Callithrix jacchus: one gene and its partners. The protein of the gene in region 4 interacts with the protein of the main gene of each other region in a biochemical or structural test. Links are inferred from orthologs where the notes say so. Each region holds a gene or a part of one and is shown on either strand. Other genes may lie near its edges.

The links.
Region 1: of the proteins of DTL (region 4) and CHEK1, one has a biochemical effect on the other in vitro, tested with the Homo sapiens proteins (2 studies listed by BioGRID). The link is inferred for Callithrix jacchus from reciprocal best matches to the Homo sapiens genes DTL and CHEK1.
Region 2: of the proteins of DTL (region 4) and CDKN1A, one has a biochemical effect on the other in vitro, tested with the Homo sapiens proteins (3 studies listed by BioGRID, with this or other methods). The link is inferred for Callithrix jacchus from reciprocal best matches to the Homo sapiens genes DTL and CDKN1A.
Region 3: the proteins of DTL (region 4) and CUL4B form a complex in vitro, tested with the Homo sapiens proteins (2 studies listed by BioGRID). The link is inferred for Callithrix jacchus from reciprocal best matches to the Homo sapiens genes DTL and CUL4B.
Region 5: the proteins of DTL (region 4) and KMT5A form a complex in vitro, tested with the Homo sapiens proteins (2 studies listed by BioGRID, with this or other methods). The link is inferred for Callithrix jacchus from reciprocal best matches to the Homo sapiens genes DTL and KMT5A.

Annotation. Positions count from the first base shown.
Region 1 is NC_133511.1:25,260,993-25,264,212, forward strand, and holds the end of CHEK1 (serine/threonine-protein kinase Chk1), read left to right. Parts: intron 1-617; coding exon 618-719; intron 720-2,064; coding exon 2,065-2,160; 3' UTR 2,161-2,603; downstream 2,604-3,220. UniProt on the Homo sapiens protein: Serine/threonine-protein kinase which is required for checkpoint-mediated cell cycle arrest and activation of DNA repair in response to the presence of DNA damage or unreplicated DNA.
Region 2 is NC_133505.1:44,980,652-44,985,126, reverse strand, and holds the start of CDKN1A (cyclin-dependent kinase inhibitor 1), read right to left. Parts: upstream 2,952-4,475; 5' UTR 2,837-2,951; intron 2,697-2,836; exon of another isoform or gene 1,031-2,696; intron 1-1,030. UniProt on the Homo sapiens protein: Plays an important role in controlling cell cycle progression and DNA damage-induced G2 arrest. Involved in p53/TP53 mediated inhibition of cellular proliferation in response to DNA damage.
Region 3 is NC_133524.1:116,476,633-116,481,393, forward strand, and holds the start of CUL4B (cullin-4B), read right to left. Parts: upstream 3,020-4,761; 5' UTR 2,941-3,019; exon of another isoform or gene 2,355-2,940; coding exon of another isoform or gene 2,170-2,354; exon of another isoform or gene 2,131-2,169; intron 1-2,130. Other genes in the region: MCTS1 (malignant T-cell-amplified sequence 1), read left to right, coding at 2,170-2,354, 4,352-4,504.
Region 4 is NC_133520.1:17,234,597-17,238,595, reverse strand, and holds part of DTL (denticleless protein homolog), read right to left. Parts: intron 2,465-3,999; coding exon 1,632-2,464; intron 1-1,631. UniProt on the Homo sapiens protein: Substrate-specific adapter of a DCX (DDB1-CUL4-X-box) E3 ubiquitin-protein ligase complex required for cell cycle control, DNA damage response and translesion DNA synthesis.
Region 5 is NC_133510.1:126,589,337-126,593,335, reverse strand, and holds part of KMT5A (N-lysine methyltransferase KMT5A), read right to left. Parts: intron 1,798-3,999; coding exon 1,738-1,797; intron 497-1,737; coding exon 306-496; intron 1-305. UniProt on the Homo sapiens protein: Protein-lysine N-methyltransferase that monomethylates both histones and non-histone proteins. Specifically monomethylates 'Lys-20' of histone H4 (H4K20me1).

The DNA of each region.
Region 1 (3,220 bases), on a different chromosome or scaffold from region 4:
ATGTTGCTGCAAATGACAGGATTTCATTTCTTTATATGGCTGAGTAGTATTTCATTGTGTATGTATATCATATTATCCTCATCTGTTTGCTTGACTTTTTGTTTTGTTTTTTGGAGACAGGATCTCACTCTAGCTCATGCTGGAGTGCAGTGGCTCAATCATATCTCACTGCAGCTTCGACCTCCTGGGCTCAAGTGATCCTTCTGCCTCAGCCTCCCTGAGTAGCTGGGCCTACAGCCATGCACCACCATGCTTGGCTAATTTTTTTGGAATTTTAGTAGAGATGAGATATTGATATGTTGCCCAGTCTGGTCTTGAACTCCTGGGCTCACAGGTCTTCCTGCTTTGACCTCCCAAAGTACTGGAATATAGGCATGAGCCACGGTGCCTGGCCTATTCTCATCTGTTGTTGGGCACCTAGGCCAATTCTGTATTTTGGCTATTGTGAATAGGCATGCAAAGGTCTCTTCCATATAATTTCCTTTCCTTTGGATAACATCTCAATAGTGGGTTTGCTGGATCTTACAGGTAGTTTTATTTGTAGATTTGGAAGAACTTCCATTCTGTTCTTCATAGTGGGTATACTATATGGCTTAACCTTATTTTTGTTGCTTTAGGTTACTATATCAACAACTGATAGGAGAAACAATAAACTCATTTTCAAAGTGAATTTGTTAGAAATGGATGATAAGATACTGGTTGACTTCCGGCTTTCTAAGGTAATTTTATGTTTTATTTTAGTATTTTTCTATGGAAATATTTCTATGTGACTTTTTAAATGCCATTATGTTTGTATATATGTGGCATTTGTAAATAGAATGTAACTTTTTCATTTAGAGCATGTGCTTTTGTTAATCTATTTTTCCCAAACATTGTTTTTTCAACCGACATTTTCCTTATTATAGAAGTTTTTGCTAAGCACGGTGGCTCACACCTGTAATCCCAGCACTTTGGGAGGCCAAGGCAGGTGGATCACAAGGTCAGGACTTTGAGACCAGCCTGGCCAACATAGTAAAACTAAAAATACAAAAAATTAGCCAGGCATGGTGGCGGGTACCTGTAATCCCAGCTACTCGGGAGACTGAGGCAGGAAAATCGCTTTTACCCGGTAGTTGGAGGTTGCAGTGAGCCGAGATTGCATCATTGGACTCCAGCCTGGGCAACATTATGATACTTTATCTCAAAAAAAAAAGTTTATGCTTTTGTGAAAAATGTAGATAAGCAAAAAATGGTAAAATAAAAATAATTCTAAATTTTCCTGCCCAGCAGTAATCACCTTTAAGATTTAGAAGCATTTTAATATTTTTCTTAATTTATCTTTTAATAAAAATTATGATTTGTTTAAAAATATTTCATTATATAATAAACCTTTACATGTTATAATACTTCTGTGATTGATACATTATGCATAGATTTTTTGTTCATATTTGTGATTTCTTTAGGAATTATTAATTTTAAAGTTATAGTTTTATAGCCCTTAATATATAAATCCAAAGTAACATTTTTTCCATTTTCCGAGAGATTGTATGTGTCTCTAAAAGGGGTTGGAGGGGTAGCTGCTGTGTTAGAGCATTTGCTGCAGTACTCCTTGTATTAGAGATTTGCTGCAATACTGTTTTTCAGATGCTTACTATGGAATTAAATTATTAAGATCGTAGTATAATGAAATTCGTCTCATAACTAAATCTGTTGGTTTTATTGCAATAGTGTTATGACAAGATTTCAGTTTAGTTGTATAGCTTATTGTTAGTTTCCAAAGCCTACTGCCTATGCAATGTAATGACATAGGTCCAGATATACCAACACATGAAACAGAGAGGATGCCATTTTATCTGCTCTCTGAGCTCAGTGCAGTAGAAACAGTGATGGGCATGAAACTACATCAGAATTATTATCTCTGCCAGGATATTTGGTCTTGATAAACTGGCCTAAAAGGAAATTTTAGCTAGACATATATGTAAGGATGTTTGTCTCTTATTACCACTAAAAAGAGATTGATTTTAGGGCATAATCTTGTTTTTGTTTTTATTTTGACATTATTTTTGAATACTATTTCTAATATAGGGTGATGGATTGGAATTCAAGAGACACTTCCTGAAGATTAAAGGGAAGCTGATTGATATTGTGAGCAGCCAGAAGGTTTGGCTTCCTGCCACATGATCCGACATTGGCTCTGGGGAATCCTGGTGAATATAGTGCTGCTATATTGACATTATTCTTCCTAGAGAAGGTTAACCTATTCTGCAAACTGCAAACAATAGTTCCTGAAGTATTCACTTCCCTCTTTATCCAAACATCTTCCAATTCATTTTGTTTATTCTGCATACAAATAATACCTATATCTTAATTGTAAGGAAAACTTTGGGGAAAGGATGAATAGAATTCATTAGATTATTTCTTCATGTGTATTTACTATCTGAATTTGAAATTCATCTGGTGGAAACCAAGTTTCAGGGGACATGAATTTTCCAGCTTTTATATACACATTTCCCATTTTTATCAAAACATTTTGTTTAATCCAAAAAGTACATATTTCTTCCATGTTGACTTAATTATAAGATGAACCAATAAAGATATAAACCTTGTGACTTTTGGACAGTAGATTTATCAGTCTGTGAATTGAGGCTAGCTTCAAAACATATATCCCCAAGATTTGTACTTATATTTTCAAAAGGGCCTGGTCAGTTATGTATTCCTGTTTTTGAATTATAATGATTAATTAAAATTGCAAGTAGGTGTGTTTTCCAGTATAGTTAGTAAAATACTGGTTGGCCTTTCAAGGAGAAGTGGAGCATGAACTAGTGCTTAACCAACTTTACTCTAAAAATTACTGTGAGCATCTTAAATATTTTTCTGTATTTTCTACTTTCACAGCCATATTTTATCTAACTTTTTGAACTTACTTGTGACCAAGCTTTTAGGTGATAAAGAATAAAAGAGGGAAGGGAAGAGTAAGGAAGCTATAAGAAAAATAGATCTGATTCATTGTTCCTTTACCTATGACTTACAAAACCTTTCTTTTTCTAATAAAATTTGTATTAATTTTGGAGCATATTAGGTTGAGGCCTTGGCTCCTGCCTGTAGTCCCAGCTACTTAGGAGGATAAGAGAGGAGGATTGCAGGAGCCTAGAAATTTGAGGCTATAGTGAGCTATGATTGCATCACGGCAATCCAGCTTGGATGACAAAGTGAGACCCTGCCTCTAATAGAAATTTTTAAA
Region 2 (4,475 bases), on a different chromosome or scaffold from region 4:
AATCGCAGAACTTTGGGACGCTGCGGCAGGCAGATCACTTGAAGTCAGGAGTTCAAGACCAGCCTGGCCAACACGGCAAAAACCCTATCTCTCCTAAAATTATAAAAACTAGCTGGGCGTGGTGGTGCACACCTGTAGTTCCAGCTACTCAGGAGGCTGAGGCAGGAGAATTGCTTGAACCCAAGAGGTGGAGGTTGCAATGAGCTGAGATCACGCCACTGCACTCCAGCCTGGGTGACAGAGTGAGATTCTGTCTCAAAAAAAAAAAAAAAAAATTAGCTGGGCATGGGGGCTCACGACTATGGTCCCAGCTTCTTGAAAGGCTGAAACAGGAAGATTGCTTGAGTCTAGGATGGTGCCATTGCACTCCAGCCTGGGTAACAGAGTGAGACCCTGTCTCAAAAAAAAAAAAAAATCACTTAGGGAGCTTTTTCAAGGCCCTGCCTCTTGAGACCAACTTAATCCAGATTGAAGATTTAAGTAGGTGTTTGAAGATTTAAGCAAGTGTTCAGCACAGTTCCTCAGATGGGCACTCTTGGGGTATCAGACAAGGGGGACACTGGTGTGTTTGAAATGGACATTCTGGGTCTCAATACATCAGAGGCACAAGGAAGGGCTCCATCAAGGATATTCCCTGGCTCTCAGGAGCTCAGGATAAGACTAGGATCTAGGCAGGCACCCTTTCCTCTTCTACCACCCCTTCCCTTAGGGCTCTCATAGGCCTCTCCTCCCCCATCTAAATCTGCTCTCAGGCGCATTGTCATAACTTTCAGCCCAAAGAAAACTCAGAAACGCAAACCCTTGTTCTACAAATAACTGAGAATAGCCTCCTTTGTTGGCCTTCCTGCCTTAGACTTCAGTCATACTTTAATTTCCAGTAAGAGCTCAATAAATACTGTTGAACCTAAGGAGTGTTCCTTTGAAGGAGCGGTGAATGGCATAGGGGTTGATCTCAGATGAGCCCGGAGTACCCGCGGTGGTTCCCGCCTGCCAGCCCCACTCCGCGGGAAAGCGGGTGTGCCATTCTCACCAGGGCCGGGAGGGGGCGCCGGCCTCCAGGAAATCACGCGCGGGGTGGGAGGTACGTGGGCAGAGCATTGGACAGCGGGGGAGTAGCGATGAGTCAGTTTCCCGCAAGGCGCTGCCCGCCCCCGCCAAAACTCCGCTTCCACTCCGGCTGCGCGTCACACTGGGGTGGGGAGAGGGAGAATGGGAGGGGACCGGAGGGCCGCGAACACGTCACGCTGGGCAGGCCAGGCTTCCAAAACTCCCGCCGCTGTTGCGAAACCGCGCGCTCCTGCGCCGTCTCTGACACAGACACACGGGCGCGCGGGCGCGCACACACACACACACACACGCGCGCGCGCGCCGAGAGCTGGCCCCTCCACCTTATCTCCACGCCCAAAGCACGGGATGAGTCAGATCCCTGGAAAATAAAAATAGACGGGAGCAACGAAAACAAAATCTCTCGGAAGTTCTCCCAAAAACACGACGTGGAGCGAGGGAAGGAGACGGGAAGCTGTCTAGGCGCCCCAAGTTCCAAACCCATCCCCTAGATGTTTTTCTGCACTAAGAGGGCGCAAGTGTCCCCCGGGGATTCCGGACTGAGAGGACGTGCCGTGGTCCGCGCCCGGCGGCGGCGCTCACCCCGCTGCTCCGCTCAGTCTTGTCGCTTTCGGAGAGGGAATCTGGGCTAGGTCGGGGCACCCCGAGCCCCCGCGGCAGCTGATGGAGGCCCTGAGCAGTGTCGTGCCCCCCAGAAACGCCACCAACGCCGCAAAGACAGGATCTCTCCCCACCTCCCACTCAGGCGTAGGCTCCGCTCTTGCCCGGGAGTCCAGCGCCCCGACTCGAGGACAAGCTGGGCCGTGGTTCTCCCGGCCGCGGTGGTAAAGAGGTAGAGAAGACCCCTGCCCTTCCTCGACTGACAGGCTGGTTAGAGCCCGCCCAGCGCAGGGCGTTGACTCCCCGGCCCCTAGGGCGCGCCGCGGAGCGGGGATCAGACGCGGCGACCTGGACCTCCAGTGCCCGGCTTCCCTGGGAACACGCTGTGCCAGCCAAATTGGTCACTGTGCTGATGGGAGGGCGAGACCTGAAGGGACAGGGAGGGGGCTTCTGGGTTCCCACTGTACCCCAGCCCGGGCGAAGTTCTGACCTTATACAGTCCGTTCCCTGGGGTCTCCTTGTCACAATGAGTCAGCTCCTCGCTTGTCCTTAGGGGACGTGTCCTGGCACATTCCCAAGGGCCAGGAAACTGCTCGCACTTACCTCAGCGCCCAGCCAGGTGGTGGACACAGTGGCGTAGAGGACCTGAACCCCGGGACGTGAGCCAGGGCGGCGCCGCTTGGTTCCGAAAACCGCCCGGGACCGATCCCAGACGAACTTACTCCACTCCGCTTTCCTCGCCCCTCCTGGACCCCTCCAGGGACACGGACTTCATTCCCACGCCAGGAGCAAACTGCACCTGGGGCTTGGAGCCCACCGCTGCGGAAGGCGAGCTCCCAGAGCGGCCCCGTCTACGCCCTCCCTCGCCCCAGCTGGGTTTCTAGGGGCGGGGAGCGTGGCCCGGGATCCCTGTACTTGTAATCCCGCTCTCCGCCCGGAGTCTCCGGCACATCCCGATCCCCGTCACCCGAGCACTTTACAGACACCGTATGCGGAAGCCGAGCAGGCACAGACCCACGCCCGTCATTCACCTGCCTCAGAAACACCTGTGAACGCAGCGCACACCCGCGGACACGCATCCCCGCGACACCCACGGACACAGGCAGGCTCGCTCGGCTCGGCTCTGGGCCGGCGGCCTGGGGTCCCCTGTTGGCTGCCGCCGCTCCCTCACCTCCTCTGAGTGCCTCGGTGCCTCGGCGAATCCGCGCTCAGCTCTGACCCCACAAGGAACTGACTCCCGCAGCTGCTCACACCTCAACTGGTGCCGCTCTGCGGGCGCAAATATAACCTACCCCCAGGAGGGGCGGGACCCGCGCTCGTCCTACCGCGCCGCCCCTGGACGGCCCTCCCCCAGGCCCGGGGCCCTGGCTGCCCAGCGCCGAGCCAGCTGAGCCTGGCAGAGTTCCAGCAGCCCCAGACGGTCCCGGAACCTCGCGTGCTGCAGGAGGGCGCTTCCCTCCTCCCGTTGTCTCTAACGTGCGTCGGTACACTGGACACATTTTTCCCACAAAGTGAGCCTCAAATTTGGCCTTTTTTAGTTGGAGAATGACTTGGCACTCCCCAGGAGGGCGCTGTTCGAATGAGCCCCCTTTCTGGCCCACCGCTGACCCACTATGGCAGGCAAGGATTTACCCAATGCAGCTGAAAAGATCAGGAGGATGACAGTCGTAAATAAAAATCCATAAATAATAAAAACGATGCGCCTCTCTGCAATTTCCAGAAAAGCCCCACGATACCACCTCTATTCCCATTGATCCCTCATTAGGTCACCTCTCCCAGACACACCTGAGGCACCTAGACACCCCAACAAAACATCTTGAGGCCAGAATGATTTTTCAGTCCCCTTTATTTCACAGATGAGGCAACTGAAGGTCCACTGAACTTAAGTATACAAAGATGTTGATTGTCACATGCTTCCGGGAAGGAGGGAATTGGAGACACTATCAGAAAACCGAGGAGGAATTGGACATTGAACCAATCTCCGTACACCGTACACTCACCTCAACAGAAGAACTCTGTGATTGCAGCTTTGTTGGCTAGGAAGCAGAGGATTTGATGAGTGAGTTGTCTGTCTCCTAAATACTCCCCACAGGGCCCATATACACTGCTGGGGAAACTGAGGCTCAGAAGAGTTTAGTGACCTGACTCAGATTATGCAGCAAAGAAATGACTATGGTGGGAACACAGGACTTTTGCCTCCTGCCCAAGGCTCTGTGCTTGTCACCCTTTATTTCTGTGGCTCCAGAATGACAAAAATACCCAATAACCCTCATTTGCAGACAGTTTATGGAAATGACATAAATAAAGGATAATTCTGGAAGTGTCTACTGGTGCTTCTGCCAGACACAGAAATGAGTAACGTGTCTATCTGCTCCCGTCTACCCCATACCTCTGACCTCCCTTGGACTTCATCTTTGCCTCCTTTATGTGCCTGAAACATGTGCAGTTTTGCTTTGAAAAATTGCAGAGGATGGATTGTTAATCTGAAAATAAATCCCACTAAAAAATAGGAGCCAGGCTTGGAGCAGCTGCAATTACTGACATCTCAGGCTGCTCAGTCTGGAAATCTCTGCCCAGGCATGCCCCAAGCCTTTTTTTTTTTTTTTTTTTTAATAAAGGTTTGTAATGAATTATAAAGTTTTGTAGTATTGGGCTTCACAATGAAATAATTCTTTGCACATCATTTTTTATTATATATGGATTTTTATTTATTAATGTCATCCTCCTGATCTTTTCAGCTACATTGAGTAAATGCTTGCCTGCCATAGTGAGTCAGTGGTGGTGGTGGGCCAGAAAGAGGGTTCATTCTA
Region 3 (4,761 bases), on a different chromosome or scaffold from region 4:
GGTGCTGGGAAAACTTCATATCCATATGCAAAAGAATGAAACCAAACCCCTATCTCTTGATGTATAAAAAAGTCAATTTAAAATGGATTAGGGCCAGGCGTGGTGGCTCACACCTGTAATCTCAGCACTTTGGGAGGCCAAGGTGGGCGGATCACTAGAGGTCAGAAATTCGAGACCAGCCTGACCAACATGGTGAAATCCCATCTTTAAAAAGAAAAAAGAAAAAGAATAAATAAATAAATAAAATGGATTAAAGATTTAAATCGAAGACCTCAAACTGTGAAACTACTGCAAGAAAACATTGAGGAAAACTTCCATGACATTGGTCTGGGCAATGACTTCTTGAGCAATATCCAACAAGTACAGACAACCAAAGCAAACATGGGCAAACTTGATTGCATAAAGTTAAAAAGCTTCTGCACAGCAAAGGATACAATCACCGAAGGGAAGAGACAACCCACGGAATGGGAGAAAATATTTGCAAACTACCCCTCTGACCAGGGAATAATAATCAGAATATATACATAAGGAGTTCAAACAACTCTATAGGCAAAAATATAATAATATGATCAAGAAATTGACAAAATATTTGAATAGACATTTCTCAAAAGAAGACACGAATGGCAAATAGGCATATGAAAAGGTACTTAGCATCACTGATCATCAGAGAAATTCAAATTAAAACTACAAGATATCATCTCACCCCAGTTAAAATGACTTATATCCAAAAGACAGGCAATAACAAATGTTGGTGAGGATGTGGACAAAAGGGAATACTTGTACACTGTTGGTGAGAAAGTAAATTAGTATAACCACTATGGAGCACAGTTTCGAGGTTCCTCAGAAAACTAAAATTGAGCTACCATATGATCCAGCAATCCTACTGCTGGGTATATACCCAAAAGAAAGGAAATGAGTTTATCAGAGAGATATCTGCACACCTACGTTTCTTGCAGCAGCGTTTACAACAGCTAAGATTTGGAAGTAACCTAAGTATCCATCAACAGATGTTTGAATAAAGAAACTGTGGTACATATACACAATGGAGTACTATTTGGCCAAAAAAAAAAAAAAATGAGATCCTGTCATTTGCAATAATATGGATGGAACTGGAGATCACTATGTTAAGTGAAATAACGCAGGCCCTGAAAGAGTAACATCACATGTCCTTACTTATTTGTGGGATATAAATATCAGAACAATTGAACTCATGGACACAGAGAATAGAAGGTTACCAGATGCTGGGAAGGATAGTGGGGGATTGGGTAGTAGAAGTGGGGTTGGGTAATGGGTACAAAAAAATAGAATGAGTAAGATCTTCTAGGGCTGGGCGCAGTGGCTCAAGCCTGTAATCCCAGCACTTTGGGAGGCCGAGGAGGGTGGATCACTAGGTCAAGAGATCGAGACCATCCTGGTCAACATGGTGAAACCCCGTCTCTACTAAAAATACAAAAAATTAGCCGGGCGTGGTGGCGCGTGCCTGTAATCCCAGCTACTCAGGAGGCCGAGGCAGAATTGCCTGAACCCAGGAGGCATAGGTTTCTGTGAGCCGAGATCGCGCCATTGCACTCCAGCCTGGGTAACAAGAGTGAAACTCTGTCTCAAAAAAAAAAGAGATCTTCTATTTGACAGTGCAATAGGGCAATAGGGTGACTTTTATGGTTTGGATTTTTTTCCCACCCAAATCTCATCTTGAATTGTAATCCCCATAATCCCCACATATCTGGGGAGAGACTTGGTGGGAGGTGATTGGATGGTGGAAGTGGTTTTCCGTATGCTGTTCTTATGATAGTGAGTGAGTGCTTACGAGATCGGGTAGTTTTATAAGGGGTTCTTCCCACCAGCCCTGTGGTGGTGCATGCCTGTACTCGGGAGGCCGAGGCTGGAGGGTCACTTGAGACTGGGAAGTTGTGGCTACAATGAAACATGATCATGCCACTGCACTCCAGGTTGGGTCGAGTAGTAAGATGCTGTGTCTAAAACCAAAAACAAAGTAAAATCCTTGACTGGCAAAATATTCTCTATCAGCTTTCTTTTTAAAAAATTACATAAGTAAAACATGTATCTTTAGTTATTTATCTCTTTAATCAGATTACCTTCTGTAATAATTCTTTGGGAATTATTCTACAGGAGGGCAGTCATTGACGCCTGTAACCCCAGCACTTTGGGATGCCAAGTCAGGAGGATTGCTTGAGCCCAGGAGTTTGCAACCAGCCTGGTCAACGTAGACCCTGTCTCTACCAAAAAATAAAAATAAAAAACAAAAAACGGGCATGGTGGCGTGTGCCTGTAGTCCACGGTATTTGGGAGGCTGAAGTGGAAGGATCCCTTGAGCCCAGGAAGTCAAGACTGCAGTAAGCCAAGACAGCACCACTGCATTCAAGCCTGGGCAGCAGAGTGAGGCCCTGTCTCAATAAAAACCCACAAAAAACTATGGGGGCATCGTATGGTTGCCAGTGAATAAGGGTTACCAGATAAAAAACAGGACGCGCAATTAAATTCAGCTAAACGAGGACTGTATATTTTTAGTGTAAGTATGTCCAAAATATTGTTGAGGTATACTTACACTAAAACAAGTATTCATTGTTTACCTGAAATTCAAATTAAGTAGGCATCCTATATTTTCATTTGTCAAACCTGGCAATCCTACCAGCACTTTAACATGAAGCTATGAGGTTTGTCTGGATTCATGCTGGTAGGTAAGCACCAATCCATTCAGTTGCCTCAGACGGAACAAAAGCCATTCTCCCTAAAAAAAGAATCTTTTAGTGTGACGGTAGGTAGCAACGAAGCACGGAAGAAACTTGACCCTTTGAGGAACCCGTAACAGACGCAAGTGCCTTAAATGCTACTTTGATTGATTTCCCCGCCCCCTCCATTCTTCTTTTCCTGCAATTGTTCTATCACTTCTTCCCTCTCAAGTCCCGCCCTTTCAGCTACCTCCAACTGCAGAGGAACCGGTTGCTTAAAAGGAGCCGGCAAAAGCGCCTACGTGGAGGCCAGAGGAGCGGAAGTAGTCAGATTTGACTGAGAGCCGTAAAGCGCGGCTGGCTCTCGTTTTCCGGATAACGACTACACCTCCGACTGTCAGTGCCGGCCTTCCTCGTGTAAAGGGATCTGCCGGACCCTTGCAAATTCAATTTCGTTCCCATTCCGGGCCCTTCCCTATCGTCGCCCCCTTCACGTTGGATCATGTTCAAGAAGTAAGGACATGCTGTGGCCTCCATCGGCTGCTCACAAAGGCGGTGGGGTGGGGGTGGGGAAGAGGGCGAGAGCTAAGATCCGCTTTCTCTCTCCCCCGCCCCTGCCATCCTGACTCCCTAAGGTTTTCTATAGTACTATGCTCTAACTCGCAACTTGAACACTTCTTTAAGCTTTCCATCCGTAGTCCTCAATCGGGTTTCGTTCCCTTCACTCCCATTGTTTTTTCTCCTTATCCCTCTTTCTCTTTTGCCCCCTCCCCCGATTCCGTCTCCATTCCTAGGGTTCTACCAATCACATCCGTGCACTGTGATTTAGGGGCATATCCTCTTTAGCTGAGAGGGGAGCCCTGCGCTCACTGCCATATGTTTATTAGTTATGAACTGAATAAAGGAAGGCTTGACTTCCTGGGTCATGGGAGTGAAGGAGTCTGGGTGACAGGAAGCAAGCGGCCTGTCATGCCTATTGCCTAGCTGCCAGATTAACCTTGCCTTGAAAATAACGTGATTGCCCCATAAGCTATTCAGTGTAAGGAAGACAAAAATTCCTTGGGAACCTACTAGTGGGTTTGCCTTCCAGGTTTGGTAGACGCAAAAAGCAAAGGGGGAACATGGGCAAAGGAAGGTGGGTTTTTTGCATGAAATTTTGAGCAAAAATAAATAGGGATCTTATAAATCATCACTTTAAAAAAAGTCTCAGCAGACTGCATAGCCTAGCAGGGGCCGATTTTCTATGTTATGCTTGGGTTGGTCTTTTGTATCAATTGAGGGTTTTGTTTTTTGATCACAGGTTTTATTATTGGTGGGAGCCCGTGTTTTTCCTGGGTAGAATTGAATAAGATTTTCCAGGAAAGGCATTTGTGTAGCTAATTAGAGATTATGGTGCAAAGTGTGTCTTATATTCCTCTCCCCAACCCCAGCTAATTGCTGTATACTTGACAGTTAATTTCAATATTGTATTAAGACATTAGTTTTGTGCTGGACAGAGTAAAAGGGAGGTGGTATTTTTTTTTAAAAAAACAACTTATTTCATAATTATTTTAAGTATCTAAATACTTGCTTGGGAATACTAATCAGAACAATACCTTTAGGTATTATGATACCTCTACTTAGAAATCCCTTTTTCTTTTCTTGCAAAAATTACTTGGCAGATTTGATGAAAAAGAAAATGTGTCCAACTGCATCCAGTTGAAAACCTCAGTTATTAAGGGTATTAAGAATCAGTTGATAGAGCAATTTCCAGGTATTGAACCATGGCTTAATCAGATCATGCCTAAGAAAGATCCTGTCAAAATAGTCCGATGGTAAGTCTTTGTTTTTGTCTGTGTAAAGCTTGGAGTAGCTGAATGTTCAATGATTAGATTGCACTCATACTAAATGGAATTATTTTCAGATTAACTATTGATAGATTGATAATGGGGATAGACACAGAATAACTCCAAAACTCCAATATTTGTATTTTCATAGATTTTCTATGTCCCTGAAAAAAATGTGGCTTTGTGTATTGTTTTATTAAAGAGTTAAATGTTTTAATTCAGAGTTGGATTTAATTTATTTCAGT
Region 4 (3,999 bases):
TTTTTGGCTGACTTGTACTGATTATAGTGAAAGCTTAACAGATGCTATGTAGGAAAAGAAGGCATAGACTTTTTATGTGGATAGAAAACAATTATTAGCTAAGTCCTCTAATAAGAAACAAAGAGGTTACAATTACTATCCTTTTTGAAATAAATTAATAAATCAGCCCCCTGCAGTTTACAAACAAGATAGGTATTCGAATGGGAGCTGTTTATTCTCTTTTGAAAGTTGATGTTATCATCATATAGACAAAGGTAAAAAATTTTTAAGAACTGTTAGCTTCAAAGAAATTATGAGACCAGTACACTATTTCTACTTTTTAAAGATTTTAAGATTTATATATTAGTAAAAATAGTTTTTCATTGAAATTACTTTTCTGCTAACATATAGCTGAGACCAGCTCCCTTGGAAAAAAAAATAGAAATTTTGGCTAGCGATAAAGAGCAGTCATAATTTTGAGAGAAGGAAAGATTCCTTATAACTGTCTCCCACCCCCCCCACTTTCTATAGCAAGGTCTTGATTGCAGTTTGTATACTAAGCAGTCTTTATTTTTTTCTAAAATTATGGGATATACCTTCATGAGAGCAGGAGTAATTAAAATAAACACTTTTTAAATTTAATAAAAGTGTTCATATCTCCCACCTGCTCTCATGAAGGCCTAATGTTATCTAACTTCTGCCCTTTAAAATGGCAGATGATGCTGATGATTCTGGATTCTATTTCAATCATCTTGACACCACTTCCATAACTCATAACAAGAGCTACTGTGAAGTACAGTGCAAAGTTCCTTAACCATCTCCTCTTAACATGCAAACAATAGAAGCTTTCTATTCCCTCTGACTGGTGCCCACAGCTCACCCAATGATCTCAGCTACTTCTGCCTCCTACACTGTAATGAATCTTGTTTTTCAAGGTTCACAAACCTATTTCTGGCAGCAATCTCTGATACTGATATTATCTAATTTAAATATTAAGTCAGTCAATGAAATGAATCCTAAAAAGATAAGTGACACTACACTGAATGTTAAAAAGAATAGATATAGGTGTCAAAAGTATTATTGTGGTGTGGCAAGATGATTATAAAAGATTGGAGAAATCATAAAAATCTAGAAAGATTCTGTACTGAAATTGTTTTGTAAGTATCTAAGTTTCAATGTATTTTAAATAATTATAAAATGTAATTACAAACTGGAAATCTACTTATGGATGTTGGCAACTTTCCCATGAACAACAGCTTTATCTATAAAAAGAGGATGGCATACTGTCTAACAGGAGAGGGGAGATATTTTTGAATTGATATCCTGGAGCATGATGAAGGCTTTAGTGAATCAGGCAACAGGGCTGAGAAGTACGGACCCTGACAGGAGGGATTTTAATGGGAATAAACAGAGTTGCCAGATAAAATACAGCATATCCAGTTATATTTTAATTTCAGACAAACAAAATAATTTCTTAGCACAAAAAATTTTTAGTAAAAGTATGTCCCATGCAAAATTTGTTTTGTATATGTGCTAAATTTGGCAGTACTAGGAATAAATAGATTTTTTTTTTTAAAGCATTCTGATGAGAGATATGGGTGTCTGGCCCCCTTTAAGTTAGGAAATGTATCTTCCCACTACTGCTGACTTACCGGGCCTGGTGATGTCTTTCCACTCTGCCTCCTGGAATTGGGTGTCTGAGATGATGGACTTCGTGGAGATGGATTCTCAGCCTTCCGTTTGGCTGCCATGGCCAACAACCAGTTTTTATTCTCTGGGGAACTGTTCTCTTTGCCTACCATTTCAGACCCTTCTCCACAGGGTCTCAAAGGAAGCGGTAGTGTTCCACAGGTTTCTGAAGCATACGGACTGACAGGAGAAGGAGGCTCTGAGATACTTGTACCAGCTCCTTCAATTTTGCTTGATTTGGTAGGACCTAGAGAGTCCTTACTAAGGTCTTCCTGGTTACCAGCAAGGCAGCACAGATCCAGATGAAGATTTTCAACTTGGCCATCAAGCTCAGTCACACAGTTACAACTCTTCACACACTTTTGTTTCACACTCTCCAGACAGCTTGAGTCTAGCCTCCTCTTCACTCTGTTTCTAGACTCAGAGCAAGCCTCTGCTTGGGATGATTTCTGGCTAACGGGAATGAGGGCTTTTCTTGGAGACATGATCTTGGTCTCAGAAGCAGGTGGAGTGATAGGTGGTGATGAGGAGGGTGTTTGGGTCACCCAGTTTCTAATTGACATCTTGAAAGATGAAGGTGGCTTGGGAGAGACAGAGGAGACAGAACCTCTTCTGTTGATGGGAGACCGGGCCTTGGCAGGAGGGGTTTTAATAGAGAACGTAGGAGTATTTGAAGGAAGAGGGAGGTCTCCAGCACAGCTTGGAGCACAAGCTGCGGATGATGGGGAAGAAATGGATGGATTGTACTTCACCCTGGGGGCTTTGGCAGGAGTACTCTGGCTACTTGTTACTGTTACTGAAAAAGAGGAGAGGATCATGAAAATCAGAAATGAAAGCCATACAAAGTCCCTAAATTCTCAGTAAGAAAAATCAGTTAACGTAATAATCCAAGGGTCAATTTGCTGGTAAGCAGGTTATATACATCATTTGATTCCTACTATACCCTTTTATCATTTTCCTTTCTCTTTTCCAACTTGCCAACCTCCCAACTATCCCAGTGTAAAACATATACTTGTAAAAATCGACAAAACACCACAAAACAAAGATAACAATTTTAAAGCACCTAGGTAAACCATGTTTAGCATATGTTCTATATTTGTGCATGTGATATATACTATATATCTCAACCTTTTTCTATACAAAAATGAGACTGATGTAAGGGCAAAGTGGCAGGTAGGAGGCAGGACTAACTTGCCATTCAGACAGACGGAACAGCATGTGGAGACTCACATCATGAACTTTGGCTCCAAGAACTACTGCAGGAACGTACCAGAAAAAAACAAAAGAATTCACGGATCCTTTGAAAGAAGCAGCTTGCTGCTGCAAAATCTGTAAGACAGCAGAAAAACTGAGTGCCCAAAGTGCGAGAGGGCTCCTGAAGCTGCGTGCTTGGTTGAAGAGAATGACCATCCCGATAGAGGACCAGTCTTTGGTCAAGGGTATATGAATAGCTGCACTCCCCTCCTAGAACCTCCAAACGAGCTCTCAAGGTCCAAAGTGTGAGAGGGTGGCCGGAAGAGGTGGCTCACACCTGTAATCCCAGAATTAATGGAGGCCAAGGTGGGCGGATCACTTAAGGTCAGGAGTTCAAGACCATCCTGGCCAACATGGTGAAATCCTGTCTCTACTAAAAGTAAAAAATTCAGCCAGGCATGAGTGTGCACCTGTAGTCCCAGCTACTTGGGAAATTGAGGCAGGAGAATCGCTTGAACCCGGTAGGCGGAGGTCGCAGTGAGCCAAGATTGTAGCACTGCTCCAGCCTGGCTGACAGAGTGAGACTCCCTCTCAAAACAAACAAACAAAAAACAGTGTGAGAAGGGGAGGTCCACCTCTGCACACATGCTCACTGTCCAGATCATAGGAGAAGGAGAACTGCAATGAATTTAGAGAGCCAAGCAAAATATAAAAGTAGAAAAAGCAGAAGGAAGAGCCCTATAGGCACTCCCAGTCCCCAGAAAAGCCATTTCTGACTTTATCTCACAGCGGTCTTTGGAGAGGGCAGCCAATGAAACGGGGGGAAGGATCACAGGGAGAAGGAGACTTTCAGCTGAACTTTGTTAATAATTTCAAATAAGCATGAATTTCCCTGAGCAGAATCTGCGGGGGGAGGAGACAAATGGGAAGTGTAGATATGAGCACAGAAGCTGTCGCAGGTAGATGGATAGGGCCTGAAAGCCCTGCTTGCTTTCTCAGTGGGAAGGCAGGCTTATAGTCTGGGGCAATATCTCAGCCCTGTGCACTGAAGGCATGGATATAAAGCTGGTTCCACTGGCTGTTGGGGGAGCATGGCAGGAGTGAGTCTGGCCTTGCTGGCTGTGGCCTGTCACTGCC
Region 5 (3,999 bases), on a different chromosome or scaffold from region 4:
GAGCAAGATTCGAAGAAAAAAAACAAGGAAAGCACAGGATAGTTACATCACAGCTTTGAAAAAAGGCAATAGGCTGGGCACGGTGGCTCACACCTGTAACCCTAGCACTTTGGGTTGGAAGGCCAAGTGGAAGGCCAAGGTGGTTGGATCATCTGAGATCAGGAGTTCAAGACCAGGCTGGCCAACATGACAAAACCCCATCTCTACTAAGTAAAATACCATACAGAATCAGGAGTTCCTGGCCCTTTGGGCTCTCCTCACTGCCCAGAAGACAGAAAAGCCACTCAAAGCAACAGTAGACTTACCAGTAGGTTTTGCTCAGATACTGAAAATAGTACATGTAGCAGCCCGTGGAAGGGTCCTGTGCGTACAGAGCCTCCCGCTTCTTAGCGTCAGTGATCTCAATGAGGTCCCCGTGGTATTCCACCACAAAGTCACCCCGAGAGAACTGCTTTGTGGCAATCACACCCCTGCCTTTGCCATCGATGAGGTCAATCTGTCAGGAGGTGATAAGAGAGGCTGTTGGCTCATAACAGCAATGGATGCCACCACGCACAGCAGGCCTCTGGAGAGCTGAGGGCTGATACCAGTCTTTCACAGCTGTACTGAGCTGTACCATAAAACTCACTTGCTTTACACGTACAGGTTGATGGGCTGTTTGAGATGGGTACATAGCTGTGCAACTGTCACTACAATCCAGCTCTAGAACATTTCTGTCACCCCACAGACTTGGTTCCTTGGTACTCATCTGCAAAGCACTGTTACATCAGAGCTCATGAGAGATCTGCTGGATGGAGACTGCCTCATTTTGTAGATGAGGAAACTGAGGCTTAGAGGGGCAGAGCCACGTGTCTGAGGCCCCACAGCTAGGCAGTGACATAGCAGGGACTCAAATCCACACTTGGTTTCTCTGCCTAGGGGCTGTGCTCTATGCCTTCCTAGGTGAACAGCAGGCCCAGTGTTCTGGGTCTGTGCCTCGCTCCACGATTTCTCTCCTGTGTCTCCTCATTCTATTCTACATGGAGTCAGAGGGGGTTGCTGGAGGGGTCCAGGACTTAAGCGGGGGTCCCCCTAAGTGGTGGGTGGAAGTGGAAGGTTTCTGAGCCCTAAGCCCTAATCCAGGCCTATCTGAGCCCCACTGTAGAGAGTTCCTTTCCTCTCACCCAAACTGGGTATGCTTGAAATGCAGTAAGAGAAAAGCACATTTCTTGGGCATTGTCATTATCTAGGAAAACAGAGTTTAAAAATTTATTAGTTTCTCCTTTTAAAAGTTTCCCCAGGCTTCAGCTACACATTGTATAGTCCCATTTATATAAAGTGTCCAGAAGAGCAACTCCACAGAGACAGAAAGCAGCTGAGTGGCTGCCAGGGGATGGGCGAGGGAGATTCGGGGATGGTGGGCAGTAATGGGAGGATGAAAAAGTTCTGAAATTTGACAGGGATGGTGGTTGCATTGCATTGTGAATGTACAAAAAGCCACTAAATTGTTTAACCACAATTTCTAAGAAAAGTTTCCCCTAAATAACATTTATATACAAGGCCCATTTATGTTTCCTTCATAAGGTTTTTCCTTAATGAGTTTTAGTGTTTGGCTCTTTCACAACCTAGTAAGAGTCTGACTGGTCCCCATGGCCATTAGAGGGTTAAAGCCACGTGGTGGCCACTCTCAGCCGAGGGACCAGGGAAGGCGAGTCTTCCAGCTTTAGCCATGATGCAGCCAGCACAGCAGCCCCTTACCTTCATTCCTTCTTCCTTCCCACTTTCAATCAATTCATCTATTCTTTTCCTTTCTTCAGACTGGGTAGAGAGAAAGAAAAATAGCATCAGCATCCTCTCCCAAGCCCATCGTGGGTAGCTTGAAGGCCTTGAGCCCTCATTGCCTAGGCCATACCCACCGGGTCACCATCGGCCTCATTTGGCATCATTGTGGATGATGGGTACCCAGTGATGCCAAAGCCCCCAAGTATCCCTTCTTTTCTCATCATCCATCTGTGTGGATGATCTGGGGTTCAACTAGATCAGGAAGGAAACAGTGGGGACCCAAGAACAGAATGGGGCTTGTAGATATGTTCTTTGCCCATGCAGCATGTTGTAAAATGTCCAACTTGCCCAAGTTTGAAAATCAGGTACAGCAGATCAGAGGCTGTGCCCTTTGGATGGGACACAGGCAGTCCACATCCCTCCATTCTGACGGCCCCTACTGCTGTCCATTTAGGATCGCTGAGCTTCACCTGTATAGAAGCTACCACCATGAATAAAAAGAGGACCTCCAATCCAGAGGGTCAATACAGCCCCGAACAGAGAACCAGGAGGAGGAGGCACTCCCAGATTCACCTCTCCTCGAAGGCCAACCCTCCTGTACCTACTTCCATCCCTAACCCTGGGTTCCACTACTCTGCCATCACACAGACACTATGAAACAAAAGGGAACCAAATGAAGACAGACCAGAAGCTCCAAACCAGTGTGGCTCCCCCCAAACCAGCATGTCTCGCTAGCACAGACTGTCACCAAACCAGATGGCACATGTCGAGAGCCCAGCACCAACTGCTGAGCTCAGCCCATTCCCCTACACAGAGGCCCAAACCAGCTTGCAGCAATCTGTGCTGGGAACCATGGTGAATGAGCAACATCAAGGGCAGTCCCAAACCCTGCCATCTCCTCTCCATCTCCATTCTCACTGCTGCCCTGAGCCCAGCCACCGCACCTCTCTAGTCACCGGGCTTCCACTCTGACCTCAGGGAACACTCAGTTCTCCACACAGCAGTCAGTGGCCTCTTTAAATTGTAAATGAGGCCAGGTGTGGTGGCTCTCTCCTGCAATCCCAACACTTTGGGAGGTCCAAGAGGAAGGATGGCTTAAGGACAGGAGTTAGAGACCAGCCTGAGCAACATATCCCGACACTGTCCCTACAAAAAATAAACAAGCTGGGTGTGATGGCACATACCTGTGGTCCCAGCTACTCTAGAAGCTGAGGAAGGAGAATTGCTGGAGCCCAGGAGGTTGAGGCTGCAGTGAGCCATGATTGCACCACTGCACTCCAGCCTGGGCAACAGAGTGAGACCCTGTCTTAAAAAAACAAAAACATGACTAGTCATGGTGGCTCACATCTGTAATCCTAGCACTTTGGGAGCTGAGGTGGGTGGATCACTTGAGGTCAGGAGTTCAAAGACCAGTCTGGCCAACATGGCAAAACCCACCTCTACTAAAAACACAAAAATTAGCTGGGTGGGTGACTGTAATTACAGCTACACGGGAGGCTGAGGCAGGAGAATCACTTAAACGCCGGGGTAGAGGTTGCAGTAGGCCAAGATTGCGCCACTATACCCTGGGAGACAGACTGAGTCTCAAAAAAAAAAAAAACCTTCCCAAAAACTTACTTAATAGTAATATACCTGATAAAACCTCACATATCAATATTAACCTTCAACATAAATGGATTAAATGTTCCACTTAAGAGATATGGAAGGGTCAAGAAGGTTAAAAAAAAAAAGAAAGATACACATATTGGTGGAATGGATTAAAAAAACAAAACTTGGCCGGGCGCGGTGGCTCAAGCCTGTAACCCCAGCACTTTGGGAGACCGAGGCGGGTGGATCAGGAGGTCAAGAGATCGAGACCATCCTGGTCAGCATGGTGAAACCCCGTCTCTACTAAAAATACAAAAAATTAGCTGGGCATGGTGGCGTGTGCCTGTAATCCCAGCTACTCGGGAGGCTGAGGCAGGAGAATTGCCTGAACCCAGGAGGCGGAGGTTGCGGTGAGCAGAGATCGCGCCATTGCACTCCAGCCTGGGTAACAAGCGCGAAACTCCGTCTCAAAAAAAAACAAAACTTGGCCAGGCACAGTGGCTCATGCCTGTAATCCCAGCACTTTGGGAAGCCAAGGCAGGTGGATCACCTGAGGCCAGGAGTTCCAAAACCGCCTGACCAACATGATGAAACCCTGTCTCTACTAAAAATACAAAAAATTAGCCAGGCATGGTGGTGCACATCTGTAAT